4 linked regions of the Stegostoma tigrinum genome follow. The protein of the gene in region 4 interacts with the protein of the main gene of each other region in a pairwise test. Links are inferred from orthologs where the notes say so. Each region holds a gene or a part of one and is shown on either strand. Other genes may lie near its edges.

The links.
Region 1: the proteins of golga2 (region 4) and ubiquitin carboxyl-terminal hydrolase 2-like interact in binary tests that used the Homo sapiens proteins (3 or more experiments, as listed by UniProt). The two-hybrid records come from large-scale screens. The link is inferred for Stegostoma tigrinum from reciprocal best matches to the Homo sapiens genes GOLGA2 and USP2.
Region 2: the proteins of golga2 (region 4) and pkp4 interact in binary tests that used the Homo sapiens proteins (3 or more experiments, as listed by UniProt). The two-hybrid records come from large-scale screens. The link is inferred for Stegostoma tigrinum from reciprocal best matches to the Homo sapiens genes GOLGA2 and PKP4.
Region 3: the proteins of golga2 (region 4) and cullin-5 interact in binary tests that used the Homo sapiens proteins (3 or more experiments, as listed by UniProt). The two-hybrid records come from large-scale screens. The link is inferred for Stegostoma tigrinum from reciprocal best matches to the Homo sapiens genes GOLGA2 and CUL5.

Annotation. Positions count from the first base shown.
Region 1 is NC_081385.1:1,061,739-1,069,326, reverse strand, and holds the start of ubiquitin carboxyl-terminal hydrolase 2-like, read right to left. Parts: upstream 3,013-7,588; 5' UTR 3,005-3,012; coding exon 2,944-3,004; intron 1-2,943. UniProt on the Homo sapiens protein: Hydrolase that deubiquitinates polyubiquitinated target proteins such as MDM2, MDM4 and CCND1. Isoform 1 and isoform 4 possess both ubiquitin-specific peptidase and isopeptidase activities.
Region 2 is NC_081360.1:58,118,534-58,125,932, reverse strand, and holds the start of pkp4 (plakophilin-4), read right to left. Parts: upstream 3,010-7,399; 5' UTR 2,823-3,009; exon of another isoform or gene 2,803-2,822; intron 2,767-2,802; exon of another isoform or gene 2,469-2,766; intron 1-2,468. UniProt on the Homo sapiens protein: Plays a role as a regulator of Rho activity during cytokinesis. May play a role in junctional plaques.
Region 3 is NC_081359.1:70,260,685-70,268,422, reverse strand, and holds the start of cullin-5, read right to left. Parts: upstream 3,054-7,738; 5' UTR 2,991-3,053; intron 1-2,990. Other genes in the region: ras-related protein Rab-39A-like, read right to left, coding at 3,135-3,561. UniProt on the Homo sapiens protein: Core component of multiple cullin-5-RING E3 ubiquitin-protein ligase complexes (ECS complexes, also named CRL5 complexes), which mediate the ubiquitination and subsequent proteasomal degradation of target proteins.
Region 4 is NC_081382.1:36,886,367-36,893,328, reverse strand, and holds the start of golga2 (golgin subfamily A member 2), read right to left. Parts: upstream 3,007-6,962; 5' UTR 2,940-3,006; coding exon 2,892-2,939; intron 1-2,891. UniProt on the Homo sapiens protein: Peripheral membrane component of the cis-Golgi stack that acts as a membrane skeleton that maintains the structure of the Golgi apparatus, and as a vesicle thether that facilitates vesicle fusion to the Golgi membrane.

The sequences.
Region 1 (7,588 bases), on a different chromosome or scaffold from region 4:
AAATCTAATATGTAGGTTGAATGTATTGTTAATTCTGAACTATGAACAGAAACTTCTTGCCTAAGCTGTTAATCACTCTGCCTGGGCCTCGTTTCCAGTAAAATCAGACCAGTGACCTGACTGGCCCTCAGCGGACACTGTAATGTCACTGTCTCCACACAGCAAAACTGTTACTGAAATGCTTGTTTGCGCTCACACTTCAATCTTCTGGGGTCAACTAGCCTGACCAGCATTCGAGCCTCCACCCAAAGTAACATGTACATTCCTATAGCACCTTTCACAATCTCAAAAGTGTGACAATAACGCAATAATCAAAGTAAATATTTACATCATCACTATTGACAAATGAGTGGGAGTTACCACAGTCTTACCAGCCCATAGAGCTGATACAGTGTGGAGCTGAAGGAACACATTAGGTCAGGGAGTACAAGAGGAGCAGGAGAGTTGATGCTTCAGGCCTTCATCAGGGTCTAGACTTGAAATATTGACTCTTTTGCTCCTCTGATGCTGCCTGGCCTGCTGTGTTCCTCCAGCTCCATGTTATCACTGACTCCAGCATTGTCTGTTCTTCCATTGGGCTGCTCTCTCCTTAGAGAGAGACAACTGGGGGTGGTTTAACTTGAGGGTCAGATATCTCATGTGAGGGGGGAGGTTGAGAGGAGACTCCTTTGTGGTAACCTCAGCCAGGGTGGGAGTTGAGGGTCAGCGCTGAAGGATCTCTTTGGAGGGAGCTGAACTCAAACGGTGGGCATCACTCTACTTCACAAACCAACCACCCAGCCAGCTGAGTATAGTTAGAGCCACTGAAGCTGTTCTTCAAAATAACAGACTTGGGTTCTTTTTACATATATCTGCCAGGCAGGATCCAGCAGGTGTTTATCCGAAAGAGAACACCTCCCTCAGCACTGAGCTGTGACAGGGACGGACTCCCTCAGCACGCACCCTCCAAGGTTAGGGGGAAGAGGATCCCTCAGCACTGACCTTCCAAGGGGGAGGGCATCCCTCAGCGATAACCCTCTGACGTGGGGGGAGAGGATCCCTCAGTGCTGACCCTCCAGGGGAGGGGTTCCCTCAGCACAGATCTTCTGGGGGGCGGGGGAGGTGATCCCTCGGTGTTGACCTTCTGAGGGTGGAGGGAATCATTCAGCGCTGACCTTCCCGGGGCGGGGGGGGGTGCGAGGGGATCCCTCAGTGCTGACCCTCCAAGGGGGGGACGGGATCCCTCAACTTTGACCCTCTGAAGGGGGAGGGGCTCACTCAGCGCTGACCTTCCAGGGAGGGGGGGGATTCCTCATTGCTGACCCTCCAAGGAGGGAGGAGAGCCCTCAGCGCTGACCTTTTGAGGGGAGGGGCGGGGATCCCTCAGTGCTGACCCTCCAAGGGGGGAGGGGCTGATCCCTCAGCACTAACCCTCCAAGGGGAGGGGAGGTTATCCCTCAGTGCTGATCCTACAAAGGAGGGGAGGGGATCCCTCAGCACTGACCATCCGAGGGGGGAGGGGATCACTCAGCGCTGACCCTCCGGGGGGGGGGGAGGGGATCCCTCAGGACTGACCTTCCGATGGGATAGGGGATCCCTCAGTGCTGACCCTCCAAGGAGGGGAGAGGGGATCCCTGACTGCTGACCCTCCAAGGGGGGTGGGAGGGGATCCCTCAGTGCTGACCCTCCACGGGATGGAGGGGGTGAATCCCTCAACACTGACTCTCCAAGGTGGGGGGGGGGGGCGGGTGGGGGTGGTGGCGGGGAGGAGGAGCTGCTTTTGAAATACAGGCCTGATGGATGTGCTCCATTCAGTAGAATGTTTTCAGCATTCAATTGGATAATGGCTTTACTTGAGCCTGAAGAGGAGTAAGGGAAGAATTAGAATTAAGTTTTATTGTCATTGTACTCAAGTACAGGGGCCAGTAAAAAGTTTACAAAGTTGTCATTCTGCTCTAGAGGAAGGATATGGTGGACAGGTCTGTTCACCAAAAATGTTTACGGGTAAGAATGTGGAGATTACAGAACGGATTTCCAAGTGATTACCAAATGGGACATGTTTACAGGCTGTTCTCCAGTAGCTCCCTGTGTGAGAGACTCTCAGGCAGATTCTGCCACCTCGTGTTAGATTAATGTATTGACACAGTCTCCCAAACTCCAAATTTACAAAACCTGTCCCTGTACTGTAGCCTGCCTGTAGATTGTACACTCACCCTGCCTGCTCTACATCAGCATCAGCCCTCACTCAGGATTGTGCAGGAGAGGGAAAAACCATTGAAGGTGAGGCGATTCACCAACTTTGAAAAATTTGCTGAGGAGGAAGATTCAGATTTTGTTGTGGGAATGTATTTAATTTACTCCAACACCTTCCTTCATCTTCAAACACAGAACACCACAGCGCCACTTGATGGTGATTCAATATGGATTCAGGCCACAAGCACATTGTCTCCTGCGCTGCTTCTAGAATAGGAAGATGGCTCAAAACCTCTGTAAAAGAATGGGTGGTCCAGGAAAGAGAATATCACACTGGAACCATCAGGTGGTTTCAACTTGTGTTGGGACAGAGTAGAGGAAGCTTTACTCTGCATCTAATACCATGCTGTCCCTGTTCTGGGAGTGTTTAACGGGGACAGTGTAGAGGAAGCTTTACTCCGTATCTAATCCTGTGTTATCCCTGTTTAATGAGGACAGTGTGTAGGGATGTTTACTGTGTATCTAACCCCATGCTGTCCCTGTGCTACGAGTGTTTAAATCTATTCCATGCGGCATTGACAGCTTCACAATGTGTGCAAAACAAATTCAACAAGGCAATGCAAGGCAATACAAGGCAATGCAAGGCAATACAAGGCAATACAAGAAACAGATCTTCTAAGACAGAACTCTGCAGAAATATGTGGCAGATGAGTGTAAGCACATCAAGAGGCGAGGGTACCTGTAGGAAAACAAATAGAATGAAAAACCTACTTCCATTTTTCACTATTCTTGTCTCAATTTCAGGCCATTTGCTTGGTATTCCCCACATCATTGAGCAGCTTCCTTTCCTCACTATGGCAACTGCTTTGATTACAGCTATCCCACACCACACTGCGAAACAACCCAACACAGAGATCTGGCAGGAAGAGGGAAGCTTGAGTTCACAAGCAAGTCTAGGCTTGCTCCTAATAGGGCATTGACAAAAACACACTGACACAGAGACAGTGACAGACTGATACAAAGAAACACACAGAAGCAAAGACAGAGAAACTCATACAGAAACAGAGAAAAAGACAGACAGACACACACACACAGGGTTTCACATAGATACAGAAACACAGGCACAAAGTCAGGGCGTCACACACAGGCACAAAGACAGGGCGTCACATAGATAAACACACACACACAGGCACAAAGACAGGGCGTCACTCACACACACACCCACACACACAGGGCGTCACATAGATAAACACACACACACACACACACACACACACACACACACACACACACACACACAGGCACAAAGACAGGGCGTCACTCACACACACACACACACACACACACACAGGCACAAAGACAGGACGTCACACACACACACACACACACACACACACACAGGCACAAAGACAGGGTGTCACTCACACACACACCCACACACACAGGCACAAAGACAGGGCGTCACATAGATAAACACACACACACACACACACACACACACACACACACACACACACGCACACACACACACAAACACATAGATACAGAAACTCAGACATAAAGACACAGACACACATGCGCGCACACACAGAAACACACAGACTTGAACAAAGAGGTTTGAGGGTAGACAGTGAAAAGTTGCTGGGCATGTTCAAAATTTGTTGTTATTTATTTGTGGGACATTGGCTTCACTGGCCAGGCCAGCATTTATTGCCCAGTTGCCCTCAAGAAGGTGGTCATGTGCTGCCTCCTTGAACCACTGCCATCCATTTGGAGTAGGTGCACCCACAAAGTGCTTCGGGAGGGAATTCCAGCATTTTGATCAGGTGTCAGTGAAGGAACAGCGACATATTTTCCCAAGGCAGGATGGTGAGTGGTTTGAAGGGGAACTTGCAGATGATGGTGTTCCATGTAGTGGCTGCCCTTGACATTCTAAATGGAAGTGGTTGTGAGTTTGGAAGATAATGTCTAAGAATCTCTGATGAATTTCTGAAGAGCATCTTGTAAAAAGTACACACTGCTGCGACTGAACATTGGTGGAGGAGGGAGTGGATGCTTGTGGATGTGGTGCCAATCAAGTGTGTTGTTTTGTCCTGGAACGTGTCAAGCTTCTTGAGTGTTGTTGAAGCTGCACCCATCCAGGCAAGTGGGGAGTATTCCATCCCACTCCTGACTTGTGCCTTGTAGATGGTGGATAGGCTTTGAGGAGGCAGGAGATGAGTTACTCACTGCAGTATTCCCAGCTTCTGACCTGGTCTTGTGTTTATGTGGAAGTAGAATTTCTGGTTAGTGGTAACCCCTGGGATGTTGATAGTGTAAAACTCAGTAATGGTAACAATATTGAACGGTAAGGGCCAGTGATTAGGCTGTTGCCTGCTGGGGATGGTTATAGCTTGGCATTTGTGTGGCCGAGGAACTCCAGCAGAGATGTCCTGGGGCATTTGTGTGGCCGAGGAACTCCGGCAGAGATGTCCTGGGGCATTTGTGTGGCCGAGGAACTCCGGCAGAGATGTCCTGGGGCATTTGTGTGGCCGAGGAACTCCGGCAGAGATGTCCTGGGGCATTTGTGTGGCCGAGGAACTCCGGCAGAGATGTCCTGGGGCATTTGTGTGGCCGAGGAACTCCGGCAGAGATGTCCTGGGGCATTTGTGTGGCCGAGGAACTCCGGCAGAGATGTCCTGGGGCATTTGTGTGGCCGAGGAGCTCCGGCAGAGATGTTCTGGGGCATTTGTGTGGCCGAGGAACTCCGGCAGAGATGTCCTGGGGCATTTGTGTGGCCGAGGAACTCCGGCAGAGATGTCCTGGGGCATTTGTGTGGCCGAGGAACTCCGGCAGAGATGTCCTGGGGCATTTGTGTGGCCGAGGAACTCCGGCAGAGATGTCCTGGGGCATTTGTGTGGCCGAGGAACTCCGGCAGAGATGTCCTGGGGCTGAGATGACTGACCTCCAACAATCACGACCATCTTCCTCTGTGTCAGGTATGACCCCAACTACTGGAGCATTTGCCCCCTGATAGACATTGATTCTGGTTTTGCTACGGCCCCTTGATGCCGCACTTGGTCAAATACAGCCTTGATATCAAGGGTTGTCACTCTCACCTCACTCTGGAATGCAGCTGTTCTGTCCATGTTTGAACCAAGGCTGTAATGGGGTCAGGAGCTGAGTGGCCCTGGTGGAACTCTGATTTTTTCTCCACAGATGATGTCAGACCTGCTGAGCCTATCCGGCAACTTCCATTTTTGCCTCTGATGACAGTAATTGGTAATTGGCCGGGTTGGATTTGTCCTGCTTTTTATCTCCAGGACATACATCGCCAATTTTCCACATTGTCGAGTAGATCCCAGTGTTGTAACTATACTGGAACAGCTTGGCTAGGGGAGTGGCAAGTTCTGGAGCACAAGTCTTCAGTACTATTGCTGAGACGTTGTCAGGGCCCGTAGCCTTTGCAGTATCCAGTGTCTCCAACTGTTTCTTGACATCACGTGGAGTGAATGGAATTGGCTGAAGACTGGTATCTGTGAAGCTGGGGACCACTGGAGGAGGCTAAGATGGATCATCCACTCGGCACTTCTGGCTGAAGATTGCTGCGAATGCTTCAGCTTTATCTTTTGCACTGATGCGCTGGGCTCTTCCATCATTGAGGATGGGGATGTTTGTGGAGCCCCCTCCTTCAGTGAGTTGTTTAATCATCCTCTACTACTCGCCACCGGATGTGGCAGGACTGCAGAGCTTAGATCTGATCCATCAGTTGTGGGATTGATTAGCCCTGTCTATCACTTGCTGCTTTCACTGTTTGGTGTGCAAGTAATCCTTGTTTGTTGGCTTCACCAGATTGATGCCTCATCTTCAAGTAAGCCTGGTGCTGCTGCTGGCATGCCCTCCTGCACTCTCCATTGAACCAGAGTTGATGGTAATGGTTGAGTAGGGAATGTGCCAGGCCATGAGGTTACAGATTGTGCTGGAGTACAGTTCAGCTGCTGTTGATGGCCCACGGTGCCTCATGGATGCCCAGAATGAGCTGCTACATCTGTGTGAAGTCTGTCCCATTTAGCACAGTGATAGTGCCACGCAATACGCTGGAGGTCGTTCTCCTTGTGAAGGCAGGACTTGGTCTCCACAGGGACTGTGCGATGGTCACTCTTGTGAGGGACTTGGTAACCCAGTGAGGGTCAGCACTTTCAGGAGGGGAGGGGGAGCCCATAGCCCAGTGAGGGTTGTGCTTTTCCCTGGCAAGGGCAAACACTAAATCCAACAATTGAGTCTGATATTGAATCACAGCCACTTGAGTTCTTTCAGATCTCATAGCTCAACTGTTTCAAAGCCCCCATGGCATCTCTGTCTCTCTCACCTGAGAGCTTTAACTGTGTACATATTCATGATATTGTTGCACTTCACCTGTTTGCCTGAAGTCCTGTTACAGTTAATGAGTTTTCTTCAAAAATATTCCCATGAAGCACTTTGTTGGTTCTCAAGGTCATAGTTAGCCCGATCGAACAGTGCAGGTCAAATGCTCAACCAGAAGTCAGTGCTAGCTTTACAACAACAACTTGCATTTAAATGCTACCAAACACATTCAGAGAACAAACTGCTCAACAGGTGGCAGAAGATGGCATTAAAGTAAGATGAACAGGGGTTTTAAGGTGGGCCATGATATCGAGAGGTGGATTGTGTTACAGAAGCAGGAGCATCGAGCAAGAAGGAAGCTATAGAGGCAACAGGCTGGGAGCTGTGAAATCAGAACAAGCAAAGAGATTCGTGAGTCATACCAAGATGGTGGCTGTAACCAAAGACAGTCAAAGTTGGACAGTCACAATGAACGACACTGTAAGGCTGTTGTCTGAAAGATAGGCCTGGGAAGCTGAAGGGGCAGGTGCTAAGAGGAAAGTGATTAATACTTAGGGTGAAAATTGGACTGGAGTTAGACGATCCTAGGTTTCCTGGGTGAAGGAGATTTCAAAGAAAGGGGGCTATACAATGATTACAAATCAGAACAAGAATGGAAACGTTTTACATTTGTGGAAATTGTCTTGTATTTCAGCAGCCAGTGGAACAGCTTCTTTAATTCCATGACAACCTGAAATAGGTCAGCAATCTCCCGAACAAAGTGAAACTGAATCCTAGCTGCTGCCCTGCACCATGGGATGATATTCAGCACCACAGGACAGCTGGGGCTATGTGGAGCCCAGCAATGTAAAATTGGCATTTCCTGCTTTAAAATAAAACCCAGAAATCTCTTCCTTTCAAGAAGCAACATTGCTCATCAGGTTATTAAATCCAGTATTGGAATTTCTCCAACAATTCTCAGGTGCACTTAACGTGATGGCTTTCGAATATGCAAAATGAGTCTTCACCTAAACACAGAGCGCTGCACTGTCGGAGGGTCACTGTTGAGGGAGTGGGCACTGACGGAGGGTCA
Region 2 (7,399 bases), on a different chromosome or scaffold from region 4:
ATACCTGTGACAAGCACTATAGAAACAAAGCATCCCTAAAACTAATGCAGAAAACTACAAGCCAATTAGCTTCAGTATTCAGGCAGACAAAATCTTCCCCAGAGGATGAAATAACAAAAGAATTGATAAATAATTACCAGCATGGAAGCTGAAAAATGAAGCAGTCATGTTTAATCAACCTTCCTGTATCCTTTAGAAAGAGCAGACATTTGAGACGACAGTGTTGAAAGTTGTTTCTATCCTGTTTTTATACTGTATTCTTTTTATTCTGGGCATACTGAAATTAGTTGAAAAGATAGCACAATACAGTTGGCAAGAGAAACAGCAAGAACTACCTGTGCTGGAGAATCTGAGATAGGTTTTAGAGCTAGATGAACACAGCAGGTCAAGCAGCAGAGGAGCAGGAAAGCTGACGTTTCAGGTCTGGACACGAAACGTCAGCTTTCCTGCTCGGCCTGCTGTGTTCATCTAGCTCTACGCCATCTACATTGAGGTAACAAGGTGATGTGTTTAGACACAGCTGCCATGTGGAATGGTTAATACTTGATACAAGTACAAGTACATCAGCAAGATACAAACACCTGCTGAATGAGAACTGACTCATGGGGCTAAGTAGCCCCTCCTGTTCTTGTCAATACTTCAGAATGATAGGAAGTAGTCACTAATGCAGTGAGATGGCACACAGGCACCATAGCTACTAGTATAACCAGTTGGGTCACAATAAACATGACTTAAATTGTATAAAATTACTTATTTAAAGATGATTATTTGCAGTTAGAGAGTCTAGAGTTGTACAGCACTGAAACAGACCATTGGTCAAACTTATCCATGCCAACTAGATATCCTAAATTAAATCAGTACTATTTGCCAGCACTTGGCCCAGATCCCACCAAACCCGTTCTATTCACGTACACATCCAGATCCATATGACATTGCAACTCTCATACTCAATGCACAGACCAATACAGGCAAGCATATCAAATGCTTTCTTCATTAGCCTGTGTACATGGAACTCCACTTTCAAGAAAATATGAACCTGCACCTCAAGGTTTTTGTTCAGCAAGAGAGCGCAGAACACGACAATTAAATTCTGCCCTGGTGTGCCTTCCAAAATGCAACAGTTTCCACTTATGAAGAGTTAAATTCTATTTGCCATTCCTCAGCCCAACTAATCAAGGTTTTGTTCTTTTCACAGACTTCTTCACTGTTCACTACACTAATATTCATAAAAGTTGAAGCATACAAAAAACAAGGTATGTGCAAATATCTTTTTTCTGCTCAACACTGTAATCTGACGCCATCATTTTTGGTTCAACTGCAAGTTAGATTGCAGAGGCAACAGGTTTTATTGGTGCTCTCCCTACAAATGCCACATCTGGAAATCTAACAAAAGACCCTGCATCTTGCATTCCCTGTTTTATCTCTTCTATCCCTGCAAGAGAATGCAAGATTTGATTTGTTTTCATTTGGGGCAAAAAAAAATTACAGGTGGTCCAAACAACTTTAGCTCATAGCAGAAAAATCAGAGTACATTATTCATAAATGCAGTATACGTGCAAAGAAAGCAAATAAGTTAAATTGAGAAACACAGCATGCTGTCTGAACAAGGGAGCTTTTCTGATGAAGGTTCGAGGCCCGAAACGTCAGCTTTCCTGCTCCTAAGATGCCACTTGGCCTGCTGTGTTCATCCAGCTCCACACCTTGTTATCTCTGAACAAGGAACCTGTCTACTAAAAAGGTGACTTACGTAAAATTCCCTATAGAAAAATATTGTTGTTGTACAAAGTAATTTTAATAGCTTTTAAACAAGCACAAGAAAGAAAGAAAAAATTAGCAGAGATGCCGTTTAAGTGAAAACTCAAACTGTCTGGAAATACGACTTTCCTTTAAAGTTACCCAATTTGTATCACGCTTACAAAATGTCTCAATAACAAAATCAAAGGATAGAATGGATATACATGTGCAGTTGACTGTTTCGCTTTAGATTGCTAATGTCTCGGACAGAATTACTTAAAATTGGAGCAACTAAGAATATTCGATATTAACACACGTCTACTGACCGGTAGAAAGTTAAACAGAAACCACAGTCACACACAGATTTAGTAACGCCCAGTTACCGCACAGGGACTGGTTTATCACCATTAACAATCAAGGATCGTATTCTCGACAGACCAGTACAGCCAATGCAGCACAGTGGCGCAAAGGCGTATTTTTTTTCCTAATAATGATGCAAAATAAGCGCTCAAACCCCCTTCGATTGTTCTCTAAACAGTGGCCATATTCCATTATGACCGCACTGAAAAAAAACTAAACAAGGGGCAGGCAAGAAAACACGTAGCCGAAAAAGGACACGAAATCAAAATACAGTTATACCTCAATGGAAAATTTCATTTTATTGCCGCCACACCTTCACTGCGGGAAGGACTCATTCAAGTGAAACAGTCCGCAATCGCGGAACACCACCTCACCATTTTCAGTTGAAATGAATCATTTCGGGAGTGTTCTCGCCTCGGTTTTCATCAAGAACAATAGGAACCAAATGGTCATGTAAATCGTTCCGTCCCCGGTCGTTGAACATTGAGACACGAACAGGAGAAGGGTGGCAGGAGTTGGAGGCGATTAAAATCACGCCAGCTCTGGGATCCTAGCCACCCACGAAACGTTTCTCACCTTCCTCTGGCCCACGGGTGTGCGAACACCTGTCTGTGACTGGTGAGCCAAACCTCCCAGTTCATTCGCGCTCGCTCGCTCGCTCGCTCCCACACACACACACACACACACACAGACAGAGATATATTCCTCACTTATACCGAAACACTTACTACTCTGGCTGACCGGGCCACACTTCGAAAGGAAGCACCAGAAAAGACTGGAAGGGGACAGACGCCCCTTTCCAGCAACCTCAACCTCTCACTCTCACTCTCACTCCTCCCCTCTCCAGGGACGGGGTGGGGAGAAGCTGGAAACGATCGACCCCGCGTCACCGCCCTGCTCTCGGGCACGGCTTGGCCGCATTGGTCAGCCTACCAGCTACCCTCGCCTCCATTGGGTGCTGCCCCTGCGAAATCAGCCAATTGGGAAAGGTGTACTTGGTTGCCATCGCGGCGTCGCCTGTCAACAATCCGCGGCTGAGTGAGAAAGATGGCAAGGTGAGTGCGGCTTCCTCCACTGCAGCGAGCTCACCTGGCTTCCCCAGCACTGGAATTCGCCTCTGGGATGAGCCATCTATCAGTCCGAGATGTGATCACAGCTGCCAGGACTTTTGTGATGTGAGTCAAATTGTCACCAATTTAGGCAATAAAAAGGAGGAAGTAATGGTAAATTATTTTGCGAGTAAACCGATTTTTTTTTCGTTCCGGAATGTTTTTGCGGATGATGCACGTTAGCATTGTGAAACCAAAATAAATATTGAAGCCAAGATAAACCGGCGTTTTACTATTGACAATTTCATTGCAAGATATGGTGATTGATAAATAAGTGGCTTCTTAAGTATACATTGAGAAATTTCTCATAAATCCCAATGATTAAATGTTATGCCAAACAAACATTCAGCCTAATTACTAGTCCTCGTAGATTGACCTAATAAAGATGCTCGAAAAAGGTAGCTGAGGTGCTGCTTGGCCTGCTGTGTTCATCCAGCTCCACACTTTGTTATCTTGGATTCTCCAGCATCTGCAGTTCTCATTATCTCGAAAAGGGTAGTGACCGATCCATTTCCTAGATTTGTTCTCGCTCTCTCTCTCTTCCCCCGCCCCCCGGGGAGATTAGTTTCTTCTTGTTCTTTTCCCCTTCCACAACCTACATATTTAATTGAACATCTACCATTACCACCTCTTTCAGCATTAGGTTATCCAAGCATCTTTCTATTCCCTCCCTTTTCAGCATTCAAAACAAACCAAAACCAAAATTCCCACAGCAACATTCTGGTGGATACCTCAATTGTACTTTAAAATCAACTAATTCTGAGACAATGCCAACTCGTCTTTGTCCTTAACTTCATCCACTGTTGGACTGAAGTATGATCAAAACTTACAAACTGCACATCACTTTCAGGTTGAGTCCCAAAGATTAAGTATCCAATATGGTATTTAATTCTGGGTTGTAATCTGTCCCCTATTTTCAAATCATAGCATTAGTGATGATTCTACTAGTCCTATTTATGCTCCAAGATTTTTTATTCCCTTACTTGCCCAGTCACTTTCTTTTGCTTTGTGGAACCGTTCCATTTGTTATTTAGTCTCTCCAATCCCTTCCTTGTTCCATCTATCAATTTTGTACTTGCTTAACATCTGTTTTCACTAATATTTCAAAGTCAGAAAATATCATCAACCCAAGATCTTAGCTTTGTTTGTCACCACAGGTGCTGCCTAATGAGTATTTCCAGTTTTTCTTTAAACAGAGCTAAGTACAAGTCTGCTAGAAAATTCACCCCGTGCATTCCTCATGTAAACATCCACCATTTTCTTCTCATGAAGAGATTAACTAATTGCTAGATAGCTGGTCACTTCACAATATCTTGCATCTAGATTGTTAACCAGCACTTGAAGCCCACAAGTAGTGTTAACATAAAGGTGCAAAAATCCCTGGAACTTGATCAGGTTTATCTTAGAACCCAGTGGGAAGGTAGGGAAGTGATTGCTGGGTCCCTTGTGGAGATATTTGTATCATTGTTAGCCACAGGAGAGGTGCTAGCAGAGTGGAGGTTCAGCAATGGTGGTAAAGTTGTTGGAGGGAATCCTGAGGGACAGGACTTATGTATTTGGAAAGGCAAGGATAGATTAGGGTTAGTCCACATGGTTTTGTGCATGGGAAATTGTCACTAACAACAGTTTTTTTGAAGTAGTAACGAAGAGGATTGATGAAGGCAGTGGATGTGATCTATATGGGCTTCAGTAAGGCATTCAATGCTCCTCATGGTAGGCTAGTTAACAAATTTAGATCATAGGAAATACAGGGAGAACTAGCCCATTGGATTAGGACTGGCTCAAAGGTAGAAGACAGAGGGTGGTGGTAGAAGTTTGCTTTTCGGACTGGAGGCCTGTGACCAGTGGCATGCCACAAGGCACAAGAATCTTTGTAGAGTCCACTGCTTTTCATCATTTATATAAACGATTTGGATGTGAGCAGAGTCGGTATGTTTAGGTTGGCAGATGATGCCAAAACTGTGTAGTGGACAGCAAAGAAGGTTATGTCAGAGTACAATGGGATCTTGATCAGATGGGCAGAGGAGCAGCAGCTGGATTTCTAAATTTAGCTAAATGCGAGATGCTGCATTTTGAAAACGCAATTCGGGGCAGGGCTTACACACTGGCTAAGGTCCTGGGGAGTGTTGCTGAACAGTTGAACAGAGAGACTGGGAGTGCTGATTCATAGTTCTTGAAGGTGGAGTCACAGGTAGACAGGATAGAGAAGATATTTGATATGCTTGCCTTTTATGGGTCAGTGCATTGTGTATGGAGTTGGGAACGGTCACGTTGCAGCTATACAGGAAATCGGTTAGGCCACTTTGAATACTATGTTCAATTCTGGTTTCTCTGCTATAGGAAAGATGGTGTTGTGAAACTTGAGGGAGTTACAAGGATGCTGCTGACTTTGTTGGGTTTAAGGCTTTTCCCATATTTATTTTGACACGACTACTGTCATTATCCAGGGAAGATTGAAAGATCGTCATCAAAACCTTCAGGTTCGGGGTCATGCTGTAAATTCATATAGTTTGACGCACTCAAACCAAAATACAGGCGGTTCCGCTATGACGCGATAGTTACGCTGCAGAAAAATCACGCTGTGGAAAATAACTGGGCCAATGAGAAAAGCGGAGTTAGGGGCAGACCACCAAAAGCGTGGCTCAAAGGATAGCACTACGTTCGGCAGCTGTTCAAACAGGTTGGTCCGACTGTGACAGCTGTTTGGCAGATCCTTTTCTGATTGCATATCTGTCCTCACTATTTCCAAAGAGTGCAGGACAGTTACCCGGGTGTCCTAGTCAATGCTTATCCGATAGTCAGCAACAATTATGGATTGTCCTCTCATCAGACGTTGCTTGGGAGAGAGAGTTATGCGTGAATGCTGTTGTATTTTCTACAATGACTGCACTTATATACACTTAAGTGGCTGTCAAGCTCTTTGTGAAAATCGAGATTGTTACAGGTATAAGCTTTTGTAAGCAAGAAGGTCAAAGTTCAAGTCCTGCCTCAGAACTCAATGGCCCGGCAAGGCGCACTCAAGGTGAGATCTGCAAATCCTTCCTGCCAGAAGCAGAGTATAGGTTCGGAGATTCAAAGTTCCAGACTGCGATATATACACGTATGTTGCCATAGCAAATTCGACTCCTTCAGCCATTCACACCGTGTGTATGGAGGGCTATGGCGCAAGGGTGCAAAAAACAAACAAGTTGAAATACAAGCCCACCATGATCTGGCTGCTTACTTACATAGTCTGCTGGAGCAGCCTCTTGTGCCCAGCTCCTGTTCTTCAGTGTTTCCCTTCAAAGGAAAGAATATTGTTCTTCCATTTTCCCTACACCCTAATTTTTAAACTAATAAAAGAAGCCAGCAGGTCTGTTTCAATTATTGAAAAAAGCTGACCGAATTTCCGACTCAACCACAACATTGTTAACAATACCTACAGTGAACTAGTACAAAGGGCTCCTGACAGCAAGCTGCCTACTGTATGGAATCACAGCCAACACAAGTTCACGTTTAAAATGCGTTTCCCTATTTGTCAAACAGCTTATAGCCAATTAGTGTTGCCAGAACATGTTTATAGCAAAGACCCCTGTAACTCTGGATAGGAATATCCAGTCAGTCAATAAAATGAGGACTTAGTGACTTTTTCTAAGTCACTCTATAGCACTGCATCATAGGTCAGGAATCAAAAACAAACTAATACCTAAACAAGCTTATGTCAGCAAGTTCCTTGATTGGGGCTGTTAATCTGGTCCAGTCAAGGAGCTCAGAGGTCCAGCTAGCTGACCTTTTATGCAAAAAACCCCAAAAGCTATGGATTAAAAATATACTACATGCCAATGAACTAAACTGGAAATTCAACATTTTCTACATCACTATTCAAACCCAACTATTTTCATTGGCATCATTGCTTTCACATTTCCTGCCAATTCAGGTATTAACTCACTCAGAAGCCAGATAACAAGCATGAAACCAAACACCAACTGAACATGACTGGTAGTATTATTATAATTCTGTCAGAGCCAGAAATAGACAAACTTTATTCTTGTTAAAAGGTGCTAGAAGTGACTACTTCCCCAGGAATTTTTCTTCCAAGAATAGGGATTTGATCCAGAAGGTTGAGAGATAGAGCACAAGACCAAGAACTATTTGATACCTCAGACAGGAATTTAAATGCAACTCAATGATGATGATTATAGGTTATTTCCAGCAAT
Region 3 (7,738 bases), on a different chromosome or scaffold from region 4:
TATGCAATTTAAGGTCAGAGGTTATTGCTAAAAATTTTGGGGATAAAGAAATAACATCAGATTATACCACATTACAAAATTACATATTTTAGAGAACAAGGCAAATTTATTGGTGTTCATAAACTATCATATAATGGATTTAAGGTCTCATTTCAATACAACAATTCACATTCATTTAATAATGATTGTTATATTGTTTTCTTCTGGCTGACTAATATAATAATAAGAAAGTGGTCATAATTGCTCTCACTTTCAAACATTCACTGAATTAGATTGATATTCCAAATTGCTTTCATGATTGACCTAAGTAATATCTGAATTGATTTATTTTTCAACATATCATCATGATTTGGGGAGGAGAGATTTTTTGATACATTAATTCCTAACTTAGCCATAGAAACCTGTTTTCATTTGAAAAAATAAAAATTAAAAATACTTTCAGTCAGCTAATTGCAAACGAATGAAATGTTTGTTTTTGCAAACAGCAATGATGAATAAAGACAAGTTCCATCATGTTGCATCGTGGGCAAATAACATACTCAATTCTCAGTGACTGGCTTTCGGTTCTTGTCTGAAAATGTGGTGTTGAGGGAATGGAGATATTACATGAAAGATGTTTAGTGCATTAAGCTTTGATTTTTATTTTTTCAAATGAAAACAGATTTCCATGGCTAAGTTTGGAATTCATATATCAAAAAATCTCTCCCACCCAAAATCATGATATGTTGAAAAATAAATCAATTCAGATATTATTTAGGTCAATCATGAAAGCAATTTGAAATTGTCAAGATAGGAAACTCAATCCAATTCAGTAAATGCTTGAAAGTGAACTGCAATTATGACCACTTTCTTATTTTTATATTAAATCAGCCAGCAGAAAACAAACAAAAAAAATCAGAAGTCATGTTACACTAGCTACTTTGGTCAATTTCTGTTTAAAAATTGCTGCAGCTAGAGATATGAGGAATTGATGCACAACGGCTTGAAACCGCAGCAATAAAAACAAGAACTGCAATTAGAAGCTAGTTGTCTCTATTGTAACCAGTTGGCTGAGAAGTTCAGACTTATCACCTCCTAATGCTTACAGGTGGATAAGAGGCGAGTTAGGTACGTTTGCAACAGACTAAAAAGAGAACGATTTCAATGTCTGTGACACACAAAATAGTGTATCCCTGCCTCCCTAATCTGTCCTTCCCCCCTCCACCTATCCTCTCCTCCCACCTCAAGCCCCACCTCCATCATCTACCAACTAGCCTCATCCTGCCCCCTTGATCTGTCTGTCCTCCCAGGACTGACCTATCCCCTCCCTAGCTCCCCACCTACACTCACCTTTACTGGCTCCAACCCCACCTCTTTGACTTGTCTGTCTCCTCTCCACCTATCTTCTCCCCTACCCATCTTTTATCTGCCTCCCCCTCTCTCACTATTTATTTCAGAATCCCCTTCCCCTCCCCATTTCTGAAGAAGGGTCTAGGCCTGAAAGGTCAGCTTTCTTGATCCTCTGATGCTGCTTGGCCTGCTGTGTTCATCCAGCTCTACACCTTGTTATCTCAATTATTATTGAACTCGCTCAACATGTTCAGCTATAATGATCCAAACAAATAATGAAACAATATATGATCCTACATTGTAACCAGTACCTTATGATATTTAATATGCAGGTAAATTAACATTTTTATGTCATGTATGTTTTATAGTCCACAGACCATTAAAATGGATTCACTTAAGCAAATAACTGGATTTAAAGGACTTCCTAATTTACACATTCGATTGCAAATTAACATTACATTTCAGAATTGAAGGGAGGACTGGTATGCTCATGGTTTGTAGCCAATTGAGCACATTGCATACATTACGTAGCCATAACAGAGTCCTGTTTAAATGATATCTATGTTGTATGTTGTGCTAAAACTAGCACCAGTAAGTGCAAGGAAAACAGCAAAATGCATACAGTGATTGGTTGACTTACAAGAATGAGAATTTCAGTACTTCCTGTTGGAGAATTAAAAGCTTTTTAATGTTAAAACTTCCAAATTTGTCTGTTATTAGCAATATTCAAGTGTTTTTGTAAGTCACAACTGTAGCAATACTATGTTTGCCCCTTTGATTACACATTCGCCATTCTCATCTCCAGTCCACAGTGCAAATATAGGAAGGATCTAGTTCAATGACCACAATAGCCTTGCCATTTTCCAAAATAAAAAGGCAGCTTTTTGTAACTGTAAACCGTAACATTGAAAGCTACAAGCAAAACAGCAACATGCCATGCCACAGAACATGTTTACTATTTATTAGCTTCCACATGAGCCAACCACTAAACAGAAGAAAGTATAGTGCAGGGCTTTGGCTAACATCTTTGTGCATATAATCAGCCTATAATGATAAATATTCAGGAAATGCACTCCACTGTTGCAGAAATGTAGACATTAGCACAGTGATTGCTCGTGGCAGTTCAACTTTTTGGAGCTTATTAACAGCAAATGTCTGTTCTCATTCATTGCAGAATATTTTCACATCTTTCTTCACTGTTTTATCTGCTGTATTCGTTTTCCACAGCCACTTCGCTAAACATGTAAGGACTTAAGAAAAATATTAATCTCTCATGTGAATTAATTAAAACCTATTGAATTAAATAACTGCATAAGACAAACAAAACACCACTTCTAAAACATTTAGTAATTTAAAGCCAAGAATATTTCTTACATCTCCAGAAATCACTCACATATTTCTGAGTTTGATTAAACCTTATTTAAAGCATTATTTCGGGCAAATGGTTCATATCAAATATACATGTTAATTTAACCTTTAGTTATACACATCAGTTTCTCTGACAGATTGCCAGTCTTACAGTAAGGCAACAAGTCCCAAAAATAAAACTTGATTTTACTGTGCAAAAAATACACTCTTACTATTAAAGTCTGCAGTTATTGATAAAATAAAATTTGTGCATTTCATGTCAGAGAAGCTCTGTAGCCAAGTTGGGTACTTACTTTCCAATGAAATATATTCTAATCAAATCTATGCCAAGTCTAGGGTAAGCCCTAGAAGATTTGTTGGCATATCCAGATAGGCTTGCAGGGATGGCTAAAAAGTACAATAAGCAACTCTTTGGAATAAAGGGTTCTTTCCCGTGATTAGCAAAAGCATCTTCTTCCAGGCAGCACAGCTTCCTCAGAAGAATGAACAACATTAGGAACCACACCACTCTTAACACCTTCCCACCCTTCCTGGATGGATATGTTGCCTTTTTTCAGTAGCTCGTATATCTCTCGGGTCAGAACGGTGAAAGATTCCTCCACGTTCATCGAATCTTTTGCAGATGTCTCGATGTATTTCATACCAGATACAGCTGCAAGTTTCTCTGCCTCTTCCTTTGAAACTTTCCTTTGGGTCGCCAAGTCGCTTTTGTGTCCAACAAGCAGGAATATGATTCGATACGGCTGGACGTGCATTTTTGCTTCTTCCAACCAGTCACGCACGTGTTCGAAAGATCTACGATTTGTGATATCAAACACAAGCAACCCACCAACTGAATTACGGTAGTAGGAACGGGTTATGGACCTGGGATTGGAAAAAAAAGAGGAGTCAAAAAACAATTTTTCTGTTGAAAATCAGTGATCAATTACTTTAAAATTATTTTAGTGACAACAATTTACTTCTCATTGTCAACTCAAAGCTACATGGTAAACCCCTCAAAACAAAACTCCATTAGCTAATGCTAAAAGTCCCTTATAAAAATAGTGCAAACACTCCACTGTCTAGAGTTAGTTTTGATCTCAATCAGAAATCTTTGATGCAGTTCTCTGTGGTTTCTGACAGCTGCCTTTCACCCAAGTGCTACAGATAACTGGAAGAACTCTCATAAGAATTCACTTCAATTATGTTCAGCACCATCCAAATCATGAATGCACACAGAAACGTAGAAAACAGGAGGAGAAAGCCATTTAACCCTCTGGCCATTCAAGGTAATCGTGACTGAACATTCAACTTCATGTTCTATTCTTGCTCTCTCCCCTCACCTTTTGAGGTAGTAAGGACTGCCGATGCTGGAGTCAGAGATAACACAGTATGGAGCTGGAGGAACACAGCAGGCCAGGCAGCATTGGAGGAGCAGGAAAGCTGACATTTCGGGTCGGGACCCTTCTTCAGAAACATCAGCTTTCCTTCTCCTCTGATGCTGGCTGACCTGCTGTGTTCCTCCAGCTTCACACTGTGCTATCCCCTCATACCTTAAGCCCGAAAAACTATGTTTAACTCCATCTTAAAAACATTCATTCACGTTTGCATCAGGCACAAATCTTGGTCTGGCTGACTTTTAGAAGGTGGGGACATTCGTGGAAGGTGTGGGGGTGAGGCAAGGAGATGGAGGAGAATTAAATTCAGTCATAGTCCTTTCTCCTGCCTTTTATCTCATAACATTGGCAGTAAGGTGCACCTGGAACTTTAGAGGAGTAAAGAATCAGATTTCGTTTGTATATCCTCCCTTGTAATGATAACACACCTGGGCAGTAGATCTTTTTCCTCTTCTCTTTGCAAGGAGGAAGTTAGGTTTAATGTTGACTTAGCCATCCGGGTGGGGAACTCAGACACTCCAGTTTCCAAACAAAATATTGCACCTCATGTTGTCAGCTCAGAAAACCTGCCCATATCATCAACATCAGGCTCTTTGCCTTCAAGAATTGATGGCCAGGTCGAACTATGCCCTCACGGATAGCATCAGTTAGGTTGTTCAGACAATTCTATCTCTTCATTGTGTTTATTACTTCATCAATTAACACTGGGCCTGCAGCTTCAGAATGTGGTATGTTCAGTCAGTAGGTTTATGAGTCAGCCACTGCAGCTGACGTGCGGTGCACTAAAGATCCCAAACCCCCTCCGAATCTGATATTGTTTTCATGAGTTTCCTCCAAGTTACATGCAATATGCAGGTGCACTGAAGAAACAAGATGATTATCAGTCGAAGGTTTTGTCCATGTCAGGTGACCTTAAGCCTGGAGACTTAAAAGTTGCTTGACACAGTTAAGTGCTCCAAGGGCTGCTCCCACACAAATAGGCACCATTGTGTCCTCACATTTGGCAGGTCGATCCTGCCACAAAAGGGAGAAGATCAGCTCACAGATGGGTTATGGAGGAGCCTGGAGCGTAATAGACATCTTTCTGACAGAGAGATGCTAGTCTGGTCTATTGGCCACAATAATCTTGAGCAGTCTCCAAGATGTTGGTGAGGGGGATTGGGCTATTTGGTTGAAAAGCACACAGCATTCATCACTATTTGAGTGATTGTTTAACTCCTACAATGAAAACTTTCTGCTGCAATAATCAGCTCATATTGAGTGGCTCAATTGCTCTGACAGGTTAACTTCCTACAGAAAGAAGAACACAGTAATGCCTAGCTTAAAACTATGGTATCTTACTTATAAACCTCACTAACTTATAAAGCCAGAGTTTTAAAGGTCAAGTCAAAAGTAAAAGAAAAGGAATACACGACACACTTAAAAAGTTGGAATAATTTGGGCGGTAAGTTTGTCAAGGTAACATTAAGCAAGTCCCTTATGTAAATTTAAATATCATAAAATTGCTGTTGAACCAAACTAAAAATATTTATTTTCAATACAAGATACAAAAATACAGCACTCCCCTGAGAATATCACATCCTGCTCAACAGCTGGAAGAACTGAAAACATTAAAATGTCTTGCACAGGTTAATTTGTTCAAAATACATCCCTAAGTTCATTTGATCAGTAAAGTATTTTTATAACTGACTTTAACAAACTCAGTAATAATTTCAACTTAATTTCTATTGAAGTAGATCGTCGGGAAGTTAGTTGCTTGAAGGCTATTATTGTTTAAAGCAACTGTTGCACATATTTTGGAATAATGCACTCAAAACAAGTACACAGGCTTTTTATTATGCTGTTAACCACTTCCTGCTGGAAATGTTTAAGAACACTTTTAGATTAATTGTAGAGGTAAATAGAGAAATTTTATTATTTCTAATCGACACATAGGTGAACATTACAGTATCTACATTCAAATAAGTTCCCTTAATCATGCACCATGATACAAAGATTCACATGAGACCAACACCTCAGTGTATAGTCAACTAAGATTAATAGAACATAGAACATTATAGCACAGTACAGGCCCTTCAGCCCTCAATGTTGTGCCGACCTGTCATACTGATCTCAAGCCCATCTAACCTACACTATTCCATGTACGTCCATATGCTTATCCAATGACGACTTTAATGTATCTAAAGTTGGCGAATTCACATACTGTTGCAGGCAAAACATTCCATTCCCTTACTACTCTGAGTAAAGAAACTACCTCTGACATCTGTCCTATATCTTTCACCCCTCAATTTCAAGCTATGCCCCCTCGTACTCGCCATCACCATCCTAGGAAAAAGGCTCTCTCTAATCACCCTATCTAACCCCCTGATTATTTTATATGTTTCAATTAAGTCACCTCTCAACCTTCTTCTCTCTAATGAAAACAGCCTCAAGTCCCTCAGCCTTTCCTCATAAGGCCTTCCCTCCATACCAGGCAACATCCTAGTAAATCTCCTCTGCACCCTTTCCAAAGCTTTCACATCCTTCTTATAATGCGGTGACCAGAACTGTACACAATACTCCAAGTGTGGCTGCACCAGAGTTTTGTACAGCTTCACCATAACCTCTTGGGTCCGGAACTCAATCCCTCTATTAATAAAAGCTAAAACACTGTATGCCTTCTCAACAGCCCTGTCAACCTGGGTGGCAACTTTCAAGGATCTGTGTACATGGACACCGAGATCTCTCTGCTCATCTACACTACTAAGAATCTTACCATTAGCCCTGTACTTTGCCTTCCGGTTACTCCTACCAAAGTGCATTACCTCACACTTGTCTGCATTAAACTCCATTTGCCACCTCTCAGCCCAGCTCTGCAGCTTATCTATGTCTCTCTGCAACCTACAGCATCCTTCGTCACTGTCCACAACTCCACCACTCCACCGACCTTAGTGTCGTCTGCAAATTTACTAACCCATCCTTCTACGCCCTCATCCAGGTCATTTATAAAAATGACAAACAGCAGTGGACCCAACACCGACCCTTGCGGAACACCAATAGTAACCGGTTTCCAGGATGAACATTTCCCATCAACTACCACCCTCTGTCTTCTTTCAGCAAGCCAATTTCCGATACAAACTGCTATATCTCCCACAATTCCATTCCTCCGCATTTTGTACAATAGCCTATTGTGGGGAACCTTATCAAACACCTTGCTGAAATCCATATACACCACATCAACCGGTTTACTCTTATCTACCTGTTTGGTCACCTTCTCAAAGAACTCAATAAGGTTTGTGAGGCACGACCTTCCCTTCACAAAACCGTGCTGACTATCCCTTATAACCTTTTCCAACACTTTATAGACCAGTGAGCCTTACCTCAGTTGTTGGTAATTACCAGGGTTGTCTCTACTCTCCTTCTTGAACAGGGGAACTACATTTGCTATCCTCCAGTCATCTGGCACTATTCCTGTAGACAATGACGAGTTAAAGATCAACGCCAAAGGCTCGGCAATTTCCTCCCTGGCTTCCCAGAGGATCCGGGGATAAATCCCATCCGGCCCAGGGGACTTATCTATCTTCACCCTCTGAAGAATTTCTAATACCTCTCCCCTGTGAACCTCAATCCCACCTAGTCTAGTAGCCTGTATCTCAGTATTCTCCTCCACAACATTGTCATTTTCT
Region 4 (6,962 bases):
AATTGAGAATTTCAATTCCAGGGCATTTGATACAAAGTACCAAGACTTTACCACCTTGATACTCACTTCCACACTACTTCTGGCAAGCTGATAACTTTTGATAAATTGAACTTCTGAATCGTAAAAGGAGGGAGCAGCACTTTGACCAATTATGTGATTAACTGACAAATCCAAAACATGACCAACTTCCAAAATAACCCATTAAGATCTGCAACACGGAAAGAAATAAGTGTCCTGACATGTCTGCGCCAGCTATCATGAAAACAGATTATTTCAATATCATTTTTGTCATCCAATCCATCAAGAGTTCATAACGTTCCAGTCAATACAGCTACTATTGTAGTGACCTGATTTAAAGCCAGAAGATAAAAGAAATGAATTAAAGAACAGATGTGCCAGAAGTTCAAGGAATCAGAGAATTTTTTGGCAAAAGTTGCTGAATTTCCTATTAGCAACTTAAATAGATACCAAAAGTACTGTTCCGATCACACGTACAAAAGCAAGAGGGAACCAGCCCTAACTGAGATACTCCTGCTGACAAAAATGCAGTAGCTCACAGAAAAAAACCCTTTCAATATGAAATCAACACTTGCACAGCACCCATCATATCCTCAAAGCCTTCAATCAACAGATAATGAGACGTCAGTCATCATCATATCTCCATTTGTGGGAGCTTGCTGTATGTAAAACTGCGTGCCATATTTCAAAAATGTTTCAGCGGCTGTAAAGCCATTTGGGGCACTGAGATAATGAAATATGCTATACAAATGCAAACCTTAGGGAATCTGAAGGTGGTTTTCCTTATTATTATTTTATACGCGAAATTTACAGCCAACAATCTGACACAATAAAGAAGATAAGAAGCAATGCATTTCCTTTTAGAGAACGTCAGTTGTTTATTTAATATTGCATACAACTAATCCATACCTCGGTCGGTTGCACATGCCAGATGTGCAAACAACTCATGCAATGTCCAAAATCAATCCATGTAGTTAACTGTTTGTGTTGTATGAAATATACGTGACCATGTAATGTTGGCATAGATTGGTAACAGCTAGTTAAGAACACAGTTACTCCTTGGCTTTAATTAAAACCAACAGCTTATTTGTCAAGAGCATTAGGAATATTCCCACTACCTGTCTGCATAGCAGGACTAACTTGAATGGTTATACAGTTAAAACAGGGAGGACACCTCCATCAAGAGAGCTGGACGAGTCAGTCAATTTAATCATCAACAGCAGCCAGAAAGTAAGGCACATTTGCTGGCTGAGAGTTAATGCCAAAGAAAATGAACTTCAAAGATTCCCCTTATCATGGGGGGTAATCTTTGAGCCAATTTGATCCACAGAGGCCTACTCCTCCCAGGAGGACAATCACTGGGATATCTGTAAACAATTGAGCAGAGGTTTTTCATCAAGTTTGGAGCATCATTCTTGCATCTGTACTAAAAGTGGTGACTTATGCAAAAGGAAATTTGGGGAAGTGTATGGAGTGGTCAGGAGAGTGGGGCATATGATAGACTCCGCTCAGACAGACATTACACACATATTAGGGTTAAGCAAGTAGGATTTCTCCCCAACCAGTCTGGCATAGTACCTTGGGGTGATAAGGCAGGCTGGGATGTCAGTCAGGCTAGCAGTGTGCAGGAAAGAGAGTTGGTAACGGGCTACAATTCCACCTCTCTTTACCCCTTTCACACGCAGACTTGTACCTTGTGGGCCTGACGGTGCAAGGATAGGGTAGGGATCATCCCCAGTAGCTGACATTGTGTCCAGGGTGGGGGACAGGGTAGAGATTATCTCCGACAGGTTAGGATTGTGCCCAGGGTCAAAGACAGAATAGAGATCACCCTCACAGACTGACACTGTGGTCAGAGCAGGATTCTTTCTCGACTCCCTACCACAAAACCTCCCAGGCGGGCACTGCACGCTAGGGTGGAGGTAGGTTAAGGGGGGGGGGGGGGGGGGGGGAGGGAAGGAGAGAAGAGAGGAGAAGTAGAATTCTCCCACATCCCTGTGCTGATGCCAAGCCCCAGAGGCATGGGAACAAGGTAGTGGTGGACACAGTAGGATTCTTTATTCTCGTCCACCTTTAACACTGTGCCTAGAGAATTTGGGAGAGGGTGGTGGTGGAGAACAAGTTAAGCCACAGCGAGTAAATTCTCCCCCCAAACTGGCACTGCAGCTCAGGGATGGGTGGACAGAGTACTAGGAGAAGGGAGAAGAACAGGGTATGTGGGAGAGGGATGGGGGTGAGCCAGGGCTAGGAATAGTAGGGGTGCGAGAAGGGGGAAATAAGAGAAGTGGCGAGCCGGAGGGTGGTGGGGGGGGGGGGGTGGGGGAGAGAAAGAATAGGAGAAGTGGCGAGCCGGGGGGGGGGGGGGAAGGGGGGAAGAATAGGAGAAGTGTGGAGCCGGAGGGGGGGAATAAATAGGAGAAGTGGGGAGCCGGACGGGGGGGGGGGGGGGGGTGCGAGAAGGATGTGGATGGGGAGCCGGAGGGGAGAAGGATGTGGATGGGGAGCCGGAGGGGAGAAGGATGTGGAGCGAACCGGGAGTGCAGGGTTGCGGTGGGAGAAGGGGTCGCGGGGAACGGGGTTGTTCTCCCCGCCCCACCCCACCCCCGCCTGACACCGCGATACCACCTCCCGGGGGGACCGGAGAAAGCGGCGGCCGCAGCCCCTGGCCCCAGAGTCACTTGCTAACCCTCCCTTCGGGGCGCATAGGCCGTGGGGGCCCCGAACTCGCACCGAACCGTCTCCCCCAGCGGACAGGCGGTAGATCAGCCGGTCACCCCGAGAGGGGAAAAGGAAAACAGTTCCGACAGTCGATCACGGAGCTTTGGCTTCTTCCCCCTTAGCCTCCGCAGTCTGCCGCTCACCCTGTCCCTCACCTTCTTCTTGGCAGACGCCAGCTTAGCCCGTCTGCTCCCGTCGGCCATGGTATCCGGGCCCGCACACGTCACCAAGCAGCTAGCGGACTCCTCCAGTATCCCGGCCTGCACCAGGCCCCGACAGCCGAGGGGCGGGGCTTCGGCGACACGTACCGACGATCTTTGTGACGCGACAACGCAACGAGTGGGCTGGTTTTGTGACATCATCGCAACGGCGACAAAGTGCCATGGCAACCTAGAAACAATGTCGAGCTCTGTGTCATCAATCACACTCAAATAAACAAACTCGGGGGCATCAATCAATCAGTCAGTAATAAAGTAATTAATAAACTCCGGGGATCAATTGCAGTCAGTAATAAAGTAATTAACAAACTCCGGGGATCAATTGCAGTCAGTAATAAAGTAATTAACAAACTAAGACTCTGGGGCATCCATCTCATTTACTAATAAACTCATGACTCAAGTAGAATTGCTGGAGAAACTCAGCAGGTCTGGCAGTATCTGTGGAGAGAGAGCAGAATGAATGTTTCCAGTCCAGTGACAAGCAGAGTTTCTCCAGTCATTTCTGTTTTTCTTTCTGATTTCCAGCAACCGATGTAGCCAAATGGTCACTCGACCTGAAATGTTCATTCTGCTCTCTCTCCACAGATGCTGCTTGAGCTGCTGAGCTTTCCCAGCAATTTCTGTTTTTGTCTCTGATTTACAACATCTGAAGTTCCTTAGGTTTTTATTCTGAAGAAGGGTCACTAGACCCGAAATGTTAATTCAATGTTATCTCCACAGAAGCTGCCAGACCTGCTGAGTTTCTCCAGCATTTCTACTTCTATGATGTGTTTACTGGTAAATGAGATGGATGCGCCAGAGTCTGAGTTTATTACTGACTGCAATTGATCCCCGGAGTATATTAATTACTTTATTACTGACAGATTGATTGATGCAAACGAGTTTGTTTATTTCTGAGTGTGATTGATGACACATAGCTCGACATTGTTTGCAGGTAGCCATGGCGCTTTGTCGCAGTTGTGAATCTTCTGATGTTTCACATTTTTAATCAAAATTGCCAGTTTACCAGCTCCAGCCACCTCTTCTTCAACATGGCCTGGTAATCCTTTACACATTTCTGAAAAAGGGTCAAAAATAGAAATTGCTGGGAAAGCTCAGCCAATCAGGCAGCATTGTGGAGAAAGATCAGAATGAACATTTCAGGTCAAGTGATCGTTTGGCTTTGTTGGTTGCTGGAAATCAGAAAGAAAAACAGAAAAAAAACTGGAGAAACTCTGCCTGTCACTGGAGAAGGGTCACTGGACCTGAAACATTAATTCTGCTCTCTCTCCACAAATGCTGCCAGAGCTGCTGAGCTTTCCCAGCAATTTCTATTTTTGACCCTTTTTCAGAAATGTGTAAAGGATTACTAGGCCATGTTGAAGAGGAGGTGGCTGGAGCTGGTAATCTGGAAATTCTGATTAAAAATGTAAAACATCAGAAGATTCACAGGTATAAATAAGAAGGGAGTTGACAAGGGGAGGAAAAAAAATTGTTTTCAGACAGGAAGAAATGAGTCCCATGGAACTGGAGCAGGCAAAAATAATGTGTTTGCCTGTGCAGTCTTGTGTGTGAATTTTGGGATGGAGGTAGAAGTAGGCTGTGTGAAGTTGGAGATTAATGAGTTTGGAGGCAGTGGAATGGAATTGTCGGATCAAATTAGAATAGTCATAGAGATATACCACACGGAAACAGACCCTTCAGTCCAAAGCGCCCATGCTGACCAGATATACTAAATTAATCTCGTCCCATTTGCCAACATTTGTCCCAGGCCGCTCAAAACCCTTCTTATTCCTATACCCATCCGGATGTCTTTTAAATGTTGTTATTGTATGAGTATACACCACTTCCTCTGGCAGCTCATCCCACACACACACACCACTCTCTATGTGGAAAAGTTGGCCTTTCGTCCCTTTCAAATCTTTTCACTCTCAGCTTAAACCTACGCCCCTGTAGTTTTGGACTCCCCCATTCTGGGGAAAAGACCTTAGCTATTCACCCTATCCATGCCCCTTGTGATTTTATAAACCTCTATAAGGTCACCCCTCAGCCTCCGACCCTCCAGGGAAAATAGCTCCAGCCTATTCAGCCTCTCCCTACAGCTCAAACTCTCCCACCCTGGCAACATCCTCGTCAATGTTTACTGAACCCTTTCCAGTTTCACAACACCCTTGCTGTAGGAGGGAGACCAGAATTGCAGGCAATATTCCAGAAGTGGCTGAATCAATGTCCTGTACAGCCACAACACGACCTCCCAACTCCTATACTCAATGCATGGGCCAAAATAGGCAAGCATACCAAATGCCTTCTTCACTATCTTGTCTATCTGCCACTCTGTTTTCAAGGAACTACGAACCTGCACTCCAAGGTCTCTTTGTTCAGCAGCACTCCCCAGGATATTACCATTCAGTGTATAAGTCCAGCCCTGATTTGCTTTTCCAAAATACAACACCTCACATTGATCTAAATTGAACTTCATCTACCACTCTTTGACCCATTGGCCCATCAGGTCAAGATCCTTCTGTACTCAATGATAACCTTCTTGATGATGGTGGACATAACGGCCTGATGTTCCACGGTAGGGTCATGGTCCAGGGGAGACAGGACGAGATGTTTGAGAGCTGGCACTCAACCTCTGCAATGTAGAGATCAGTATGCCAGTCAACAGAAACATCCGCCTTGTCAGCAGGCTTGATTCCCAAGTCAGGTTTGGATCTGGGAACACAGCGTATGGTCAGTTTAGAGGGTATCACATTGATAGTTCTTGAGAAACAGGTCAAGTTCCGGTAAAAGGACAGAGGGGTGGGAAAAGTTCTGAAGAAGGGTCACTGGACCTGATACATTAACTCTGCTTTCTCTCTACAGATGCTGCCATGTTGAGTTTCTCCAGCAACATCTGTTTTTCTTTCTGACTTCCAGCATCCAACAAAATCAAAGACCACTCCGACCCTGGTTATGCTCTCTTCTACCCTCTTCTATCAGGCAAAAGATATATACATTTGGATATACATATGAACAGATTGAAGAACAGCTTCTTCCCCACTGGTTTTAGACATTTGGTAGATCTCTAATGTTAATGTTGATTTCTCTCTGCATTTCTCAGCTACAGTAACTCCATTTACCTGCCTTGGTCTGTCCCGTAATACCCCTTCGAACAAAAACCCTTTACTCCTGGTTCAAATGTATTATTTGGGCTACTTGGTACAAACTGTTATTGTCAGAGTGTGTTCTACACACGTACAACCCTTTGCATGAAGGCCTGTTTTCAAACTTCACTCCTGAATGGCCTGGCTCTGACCTTCACATTCTGTCCCTCTATCCTGGACCTGTTATTTTCTCTACCACCCTATCCCAAATTATCGAGCTCAAACGGAAACAGCTTCATGGTAAGACCAGTGTAAGGATAGAATGAGGATAACTCGTAAATTCATAAACTCATAAATGTTCACGTTTCCATGAATAATTTCAAACTAACAAAATTCTAGATTTGATGTAATGGTTAAAGGCATAGGATTGCTCCCAACTAATTCAAAACCCATTGCATCACTGAGCAGCAAGATTCATAAGGATGTGTTTACCTGTAGGTCTGGCAATGTCAAGGTAACATTACAAAGCCTAAATGATTTAATCACAAGCGTAGGTCACTAGTACCTCAAACTTTCATATCACTCTTATTTTTAGCTGAGATATCAATTAAGTAATATTAGCAAACTAGAGGTCTACAGCACAGAAAAAGGCCCTTTAGCCCATCAAGTCTGTGCCAGTCAAAAACAACCTCCTAACTATTCGAGAGATAGTAAGAACTGTTGATGCTGGAGTCAGAGATAACACGGTGTGGAGCTGCGTGAATACAGCAGGCCGGGCAGCATCGGAGGAACAGGAAAGTTGACATTTTGGGTCAGGACCTTAACTATTCTAATCCCATTTTCAAACATTTTTCCCATAGTTTTGCAAGCCTTGGCATCGCAGATGCACATGTAAATATTTCCTCAGTGTTATGAGTGTTTCTGCTTCAACTACCCTTTCAAT